Xenopus tropicalis: one gene and its partner. The protein of the gene in region 1 purifies or fractionates together with the protein of each later gene. This does not show direct contact. Links are inferred from orthologs where the notes say so. Each region holds a gene or a part of one and is shown in the gene's direction. Other genes may lie near its edges.

Region 1 (4,325 bases):
CTCATTGTATATAAGGTGTATTTTAAATGTTTGGGAGAGTAGAAAGACCCACATCATTTTAATATAACTGCTCTATGTAGAACGTAACTGTCTTTGTATCTATACACCTGTTACCTGAGAAAATAAAGTGATCTGTGATTTTAATGCATATAGAGTACTTGTAAATTTGTGAGAAGCGCCAACTCTAAGTTAATTATAATGTGGAACACAACAGGAGCAAATTATTTCATTAGATTTATTTTATCATATAATTACAAATAACTATATATTTTACTAAGTCATATATATATATCATTATCCTTTATTCATAATGTATACATATCCGGCATCACTAACAGAGAATTCTCTGTTCTCCAGTTTCCTTCCTGCACTTCAAAACATAGAGAAGATTAAGTGGCTATTGAAAAAATGAGTCGCTGCCCCAGTGGAGCTTACACTCTAAAGGTCCATATCACACACACACTACAGTCAATTATTGTGTGGTGCTCTATGCACGCCGCAAAGCCCCCTAGATGCGGAATAAAAAAAATTGTCAGCTCTGGAGATAATGATCCAGTCCTGTTTTTTTGGACCAAATTCAGTTTCACACTAAGGGACGTATTTATTATGTGTAAAACTAACTCGCTGAGTAAAAACCTGTGTAAAATAAATGGAAAAGATCGCCGTCTGAACGCCAGATATTACGCCGTTATTTTCCATAAGTTCTGGTGAAAAAAAAAAAACGCGTAAAAAATGACGCCGTTTTTTCCCGCCTGTTTTACACAGCGAAGTGTGGTGAATTTTCTCGCTGTTTTTTACACAGCATAATAAATATGCCCCTAGATGATCATTTGAATTAAGGTCTCAAAAGGCCTGGAGTGGAATCATTATCTCCCTCATGTCATGTCTTATAAAGCTTTTGTTTCTGGCCTTAGCATATTATATATCCCAAAATGTGGCTGAGGCTTTTCTATTCAGGGGCTGTAACTTGGCTGCACAATGGGCACCTCACAGAATGAGCTCCTGGCAAAGCATTTCATGTCTCCATTATTTATTGCGGGAGAGTTTTAGCACTCAGTATTATCCGAGAAGTGCCCTTATGGCGTGCTCACAGCATTCACCTTTCCAACTTGATTTTAGCGCCGGGACCAAAGGAGAAAGGGCTAAGAACATACAGTGTTGCTTGGCTACAGCGCCTAAGGGCGGGGGGCTGCGTCCCAGCCAGGGGCGGCTCATTAGTACAGAATAAACCGTTACCCTCGAGAGAAGGAATTCTTCTGAGGAACAACCGGTATTTGCCACTGACACCATACAATTCCCGCCTCTCCCCTGTAGCAGGGATCTCCATAGCAACCGGTAGTTGTAGGAAACCAGATGCCTCTTACGTCACATTCGCGCTCCCGTCGCGCCGGTAGCAGCATGCAGTGGGCGTGGCCAAAGTGTTAAATGGCGATGTGACAGTGACCTGTGGGAAAGGGTTGCGCGGAGAATGGAGGGGATAATGGCGAGAGGGGTGGATGTGCGCTCCCGTTCCAAGCAGTATGAGAAGCTGGAGTTCCTGGGGGAAGGCCAGGTGGGTGCTGCTGCGTGGGGTTCCGGGTCCCTGTGGGACACGTGGGGCTTTACTACTGCGCAGAGATGCTTAGTGGCACTGTATGTAATGTCGTGTAATTGGATACTGCTTTACGGCTTTTATCCTGGCATTACATAGTGCTGTACCTGTAGTATCCTGGCATTACATAGTGCTGTACCTGTAGTATCCTGGCATTACATAGTGCTGTACCTGTAGTATCCTGGCATTACATAGTGCTGTACCTGTAGTATCCTGGCATTACATAGTGCTGTAGCTGTAGTATCCTGGCATTACATAGTGCTGTACCTGTAGTGTCCTGGCATTACATAGTGCTGTACCTGTAGTATCCTGGCATTACATAGTGCTGTACCTGTAGTATCCTGGCATTACATAGTGCTGTACCTGTAGTATCCTGGCATTACATAGTGCTGTACCTGTAGTATCCTGGCATTACATAGTGCTGTAGCTGTAGTATCCTGGCATTACATAGTGCTGTACCTGTAGTATCCTGGCATTACATAGTGCTGTACCTGTAGTATCCTGGCATTACATAGTGCTGTACCTGTAGTATCCTGGGGTTACATAGTGCTGTACCTGTAGTATCCTGGCATTACATAGTGCTGTAGCTGTAGTATCCTGGCATTACATAGTGCTGTACCTGTAGTATCCTGGCATGACATAGTGCTGTACCTGTAGTATCCTGGCATTACATAGTGCTGTACCTGTAGTATCCTGGCATTACATAGTGCTGTACCTGTAGTATCCTGGCATTACATAGTGCTGTAGCTGTAGTATCCTGGCATTACATAGTGCTGTACCTGTAGTATCCTGGCATTACATAGTGCTGTACCTGTAGTATCCTGGCATTACATAGTGCTGTAGCTGTAGTATCCTGGCATTACATAGTGCTGTAGCTGTAGTATCCTGGCATTACATAGTGCTGTACCTGTAGTATCCTGGCATTACATAGTGCTGTAGCTGTAGTATCCTGGCATTACATAGTGCTGTACCTGTAGTATCCTGGCATTACATAGTGCTGTAGCTGTAGTATCCTGGCATTACATAGTGCTGTACCTGTAGTATCCTGGGGTTACATAGTGCTGTACCTGTAGTATCCTGGCATTACATAGTGCTGTACCTGTAGTATCCTGGCATTACATAGTGCTGTACCTGTAGTATCCTGGCATTACATAGTGCTGTACCTGTAGTATCCTGGCATTACATAGTGCTGTACCTGTAGTATCCTGGCATTACATAGTGCTGTACCTGTAGTACCCTGGCATTACATAGTGCTGTACCTGTAGTATCCTGGCATTACATAGTGCTGTAGCTGTAGTATCCTGGCATTACATAGTGCTGTAGGTGTAGTATCCTGGCATTACATAGTGCTGTAGCTGTAGTATCCTGGCATTACATAGTGCTGTACCTGTAGTGTCCTGGCATTACATAGTGCTGTACCTGTAGTATCCTGGCATTACATAGTGCTGTACCTGTAGTATCCTGGCATTACATAGTGCTGTACCTGTAGTATCCTGGCATTACATAGTGCTGTAGCTGTAGTATCCTGGCATTACATAGTGCTGTACCTGTAGTATCCTGGGGTTACATAGTGCTGTACCTGTAGTATCCTTGCATTACATAGTGCTGTACCTGTAGTATCCTGGCATTACATAGTGCTGTACCTGTAGTATCCTGGCATTACATAGTGCTGTACCTGTAGTGTCCTGGCATTACATAGTGCTGTACCTGTAGTGTCCTGGCATTACATAGTGCTGTACCTGTAGTGTCCTGACATTACATAGTGCTGTACCTGTAGTATCCTGGCATTACATAGTGCTGTACCTGTAGTATCCTGGCATTACATAGTGCTGTACCTGTAGTGTCCTGGCATTACATAGTGCTTTTAGTCTGGCATTACATAGTGCTGTACCTGTAGTATCCTGACATTACATAGTGCTTTTAGTCTGGCATTACATAGTGCTGTACTTGTACTTTTTTGGCACAATTGTTATGTTTGGGTTTTATCTTCCCTTAAACTCTGGCAGGTTTCATAAATGGCAGTGACAGTAAAAGCTGCTCAGGCAGTCCCGTCAGTGTTGGCTCTGCTGTGACAGAGTAGAGAGGTGTATATAGGAACTGACAGGAAACTGTTTCCCACTCATATTGTTCTGAAATGTTCTGTTTCTCAGTTTGCCACAGTTTATAAAGCAAGAGACAAGAATACAGATAGAATTGTGGCCATTAAAAAGGTATGTTTCTTACTGCTTTCTTATTCACAGCTAAATGCTTTATTAATGTCATGTACCCTGCATGTTCTGCACATTATATGTTACATGTTCAATGTCGCAAACAAATTGTGCTTTTGCCATGCCCACACTGTAAATAAGGGTAAAAGGGTAAAAGACTATAATATTGGAGACTGATAGCATCTTGTAACGTGTATAAATGCAGCAGCCATCTTGTATAATAGGAGGGTTGTACAGGGCAGCATAGAAACACCCACATTAAATCTCAGGTGGCCCTACCCAACAGTAATTATACACATCCAGAATAATGTCAACAATAGCGAACAACACCGAAGGAGGAAATGGTACAAGAGAGAGGGTATATACTATTACAACACTAACACAACAGCAATAGGCTGCAGTATTGTGTTCATTAGTATATTATCAGATGATAATACATACCCATCCCCTGTATCTCTGTATCAAATGTTTGTGTGTGTGTGTATATGTGTATATATATATATATTGTTTGTTTGTTTGTTTTAGTA
Region 2 (3,823 bases), on another chromosome or scaffold:
ACATCATGTTTAGCAAAATAAAGATGGGGCAGAAAGGCTTATTTTGGAAAATCAAGTGATTACTCTGCTACTAACCCTGTTTTTTTTTTTTTTTTTAAGGAATTTGATGCAATTGGACGTGAGACCCCCCTTCCTCCTGGTATCTACAATCTGGATGACCTTAGGACTTTGGGTAGACAAAAAGGCTGGTGTCCTTATTACCTTGCCCGACATGCTGTGAGTGTCTGAATATTTCTCATGCAGTCCTAACTTGTAGAAGATATAATTGACTAGTATATCTGAATAAATGTTTGTGTTTTAAATTATGTTGTGTATTTTTGCAGCTCGGACAGTGCAATGTGGTTGTGTACAGCTATCACTACTTACTGGATCCCAAAATAGCTGACCTTGTCTCTCGTGAACTTTCCAAGAAATCTGTTGTTGTCTTTGATGAAGCTCATAATATTGGTAAGTGATAAAACTGAACTTACCTGTCTATTTCACACGCCTGCAAAATTAATCTGCCCTCTTACTCTTTAGATAATGTCTGCATTGACTCTATGAGTGTCACCATCACACGCAGAACCCTGGAGCGCTGTCAGACAAACATTGAAACTCTCAACACGGCAATAGAAAAGTAAGGGATGTTTTGTGGAGGACAGAAGAAAATAAATTCTTGCATAATAAAAAAACTGTTTTAATAGAAGTAAAACTGGTTAAATAATGGGAGATAAATGTGAAGGGTACATTCAGAAAATTAATGAAAAAAAGTGGATGCGAAGGAGAGCCGGTAATAGGTGAATATTGAGAGAAAAGGTAAGGGAGAACTGTTATTCTTTAGCTTTATTTTTGTTGTTTTCATAGAATAAAAGAAACAGATGAAAAGAAGCTGAAGGAGGAGTACGCTCAACTGGTGGAGGGATTGCGGGAGGCCAGTGTTGCAAGGGAGACTGATGTGTACCTGTCCAACCCTGTCTTACCTGATGAAATTCTGCAAGGTAAGAGAAGTTGTGCTGTTAATTTAGTTTTTTTCTGTAAACATTAAGCCTATCATGCTCTTCAGGAGGCTGCACCTGTTACTCCCCAACTTAGTTCAAACCTTTTCAACAGCCTTGTTCACTGGACATTAAGCTGTTTGTTGATTAGTTATACATTTTGTATAAATACTTTATTGAACAGCCAAAACTGTTTTTCCTTCGCTACTGAAATGACTAAGGACTGACTTTCGTGTTGTATGCAGAGGCTGTGCCAGGCTGCATCCGTAATGCTCTCCACTTCCTGGGTTTTTTACGACGATTAGTGGGCTACATCAAATCACGTCTACGTGCAGGCCATGTAACACAAGAGGGCCCTGCTGCCTTTCTTCGTGACCTTTATGAGAAAGTCTGCATCGAAAGGAAGCCAATGCGGTAAGGGTTGAGTTGTTGATTACAAAGATAATGCCTAGTAAGTATTACTAATGTGTTCAGAAATATCTTATTTAAATTGATGCAAAACTTTCACATATAATATTTTGTTATACATAGCCTAAGAAAGATTTCACAACAGAAATTTGCTGGGCTTTCTGTTACTGTTGTATTAGTTGAGAAAATAATTGAAACTGCATTTTGCAGCTGGTTATCTCCAGCTGAAGTTCAAGCTCCAGAGGGCTTTGTAATTATCTGATGTTCTGAGTCACATGGCTGTTTATTTTCTTTGGCTTACTAATGACCTTTGTTGCTTAGATTGGGGGACACAGGCACTATGGGGCTAAAGATACAGGAGAGTACACACGGAAAGGTTAAAATTGACTTCTTAAGAGCTTTGCCCCTGCTACCTCCCTTAATCCTTAGTTTCTCTTAATGTGCTCAAAAGGAGAAAGGACACATGGTGGCTCAGGAATAAAATAGTCAGGACTATGGTTATAGGTCATGCCACTAAGGCCTAAAAATAATCTCCCAAATGACTGGGATCTCTAGTTTCCACTCTCCAGGGGTCTGCACTGGTTAACACTCCCAGAGCAACATTGGGGCAAACACTTAGATGGTGTGGAAGGATTTTTATCCTCAAGGTACCTATGCCCCCCATAGTAAGTGAAGAGAAAGGGATTTAATGGTAAGTACAAAAATTGTTCTTCTAGTAACATTTCTTTATAGTGACCTCCTGTACAAATTGAGAAATACTTAAAAGGGATAGTTCACCTTAACCCGAGTACTGTAGTATTTTTTTTAAACTCTGTCAACTGTAATCTGACTGTTCCATTTTTTTCAGTACTCTAACAACCAGTCAGAGGTTTGCAAAATGTTTGATTTTTATGTATTTGATAGAGATGATTATTAAAGAGCCTGAAAATAATGATATGCAATAAGATAAGAATTACAATAAAACTAAACTATGGGTTTTTTGTTTTTGTTGCTGGCGTCCATGATCCCTGACAGTTAGAAATAGAAATAATAATGAAAACAGACATAATATTAAAATTACTCATTGAATGAATGAATGATGAATGAATAATTCAAAAACCATAAAATTAACTAAGACAAGTTTAAATGTTGCTTGAAATAGGTTAATTTATAATAAACTAATCTACTAAAATTAAAAAAAAAATGGGAATTTTTCCCTTACAGATATTAAATCTTTTGCCTTTTAGGTTCTGTGCAGAACGGTTGCGTTCCCTCACACGCACTCTTGAGATAGCTGACATTACAGACCTCTCTCCTCTTACCCTCATAACCAACTTTGCTACCCTTGTCAGCACATATACTAAAGGTATTTTCCTCACAGTTGGATTCTGTGTATTCTTGCTTGCCCTTCCCATCACCTCTCTTCCTACAAACCATTTTATTTCCCTTGTGAACCATGTCTCTGTTTTCTTACAGGTTTTATGATAATTATTGAACCATTCGAGGACAGAACACCATCTATAAGTAATCCTGTGCTGCACTTCAGGTTACTAAATATTTTTCTCCTTGAAATGCCCATCAGTGCTATTCTTTCCAATTTCTTACTTTTTGCCAATTTTTGGCTTAATATCTTTTTTTTTGGCTCGTAGGAATGATTTTCTGCCTCTAATTCCTCTTTCCACACACACATTCATACAACTTTTTTCAAAATACAGATTCGGTGCGCAGTATTTTTTTTTCTTTGATCTTTCCAACACAATCTTTCTTTTTTCCCTACTTCTAGTGCTCCTGTAGTCTGGTCAATGTTTCTCTTGGTGCCCACTGTCCACCTTTTCAAAGCCAATTTTCCTTCATTTTTTTTCAGCTTTCTCTCTTACAAAGACTGTATACTCTAGCCGTTCTTGTTTTTATCATTAATTTAGCTGTCTAGATTCTTCCCTTGCAATTAAACCTGTATTCCAGAGATTTCAGTCTGTCATCATCACGTCTGGGGTAAGAATTTTTTTTTTTTTTACTTTTTTATTTTTCAAATTTTTCTTCTAATCCTGTGTAATCTATTCTTTTTTAAAAATGTGACTTTTACACAACCAGACCCTCTCTCCTTTGGATATCTACCCCAAAATTTTGGATTTTCGCCCTGTTACTATGGCAACATTCACAATGACCTTGGCCCGTGTTTGTCTTTGTCCTATGGTAAGAAAAGGTTATATATTGCATATGATATCTTTTATACATAAGAGGTAAATAGTGAAGGCTTACTTGCAGTTGTTTACTGTATGCTGCAGGTCGTGGGCCGTGGGAATGATCAAGTGGCAATGAGTTCAAAGTTTGAAACAAGGGAAGATCTAGGTAAATAACATATTGAAATCTGAAACATCCTTATTTGTTTTAATGGAAAACTAAAGCTTTAGTTAAAGAAGCCGGCTAGAAATGTTGTACATTATGTTTTGGGGTTTTGTACC

Evidence for each region.
Region 2: the proteins of cdk7 (region 1) and ercc2 purify together in Homo sapiens (affinity purification with mass spectrometry; 10 studies listed by BioGRID and IntAct, counting the BioPlex papers as one, with this or other methods). This does not show direct contact. The link is inferred for Xenopus tropicalis from reciprocal best matches to the Homo sapiens genes CDK7 and ERCC2.

Annotation. Positions count from the first base shown.
Region 1 is NC_030677.2:186,233,397-186,237,721, reverse strand, and holds the start of cdk7 (cyclin-dependent kinase 7), read left to right. Parts: upstream 1-1,421; 5' UTR 1,422-1,468; coding exon 1,469-1,552; intron 1,553-3,741; coding exon 3,742-3,801; intron 3,802-4,325. UniProt on the Homo sapiens protein: Serine/threonine kinase involved in cell cycle control and in RNA polymerase II-mediated RNA transcription. Cyclin-dependent kinases (CDKs) are activated by the binding to a cyclin and mediate the progression through the cell cycle.
Region 2 is NC_030684.2:70,779,253-70,783,075, forward strand, and holds part of ercc2 (TFIIH basal transcription factor complex helicase XPD subunit), read left to right. Parts: intron 1-99; coding exon 100-216; intron 217-323; coding exon 324-447; intron 448-519; coding exon 520-616; intron 617-843; coding exon 844-977; intron 978-1,219; coding exon 1,220-1,388; intron 1,389-2,608; coding exon 2,609-2,727; intron 2,728-2,837; coding exon 2,838-2,907; intron 2,908-3,283; coding exon 3,284-3,353; intron 3,354-3,452; coding exon 3,453-3,554; intron 3,555-3,646; coding exon 3,647-3,710; intron 3,711-3,823. UniProt on the Homo sapiens protein: ATP-dependent 5'-3' DNA helicase. Component of the general transcription and DNA repair factor IIH (TFIIH) core complex, not absolutely essential for minimal transcription in vitro.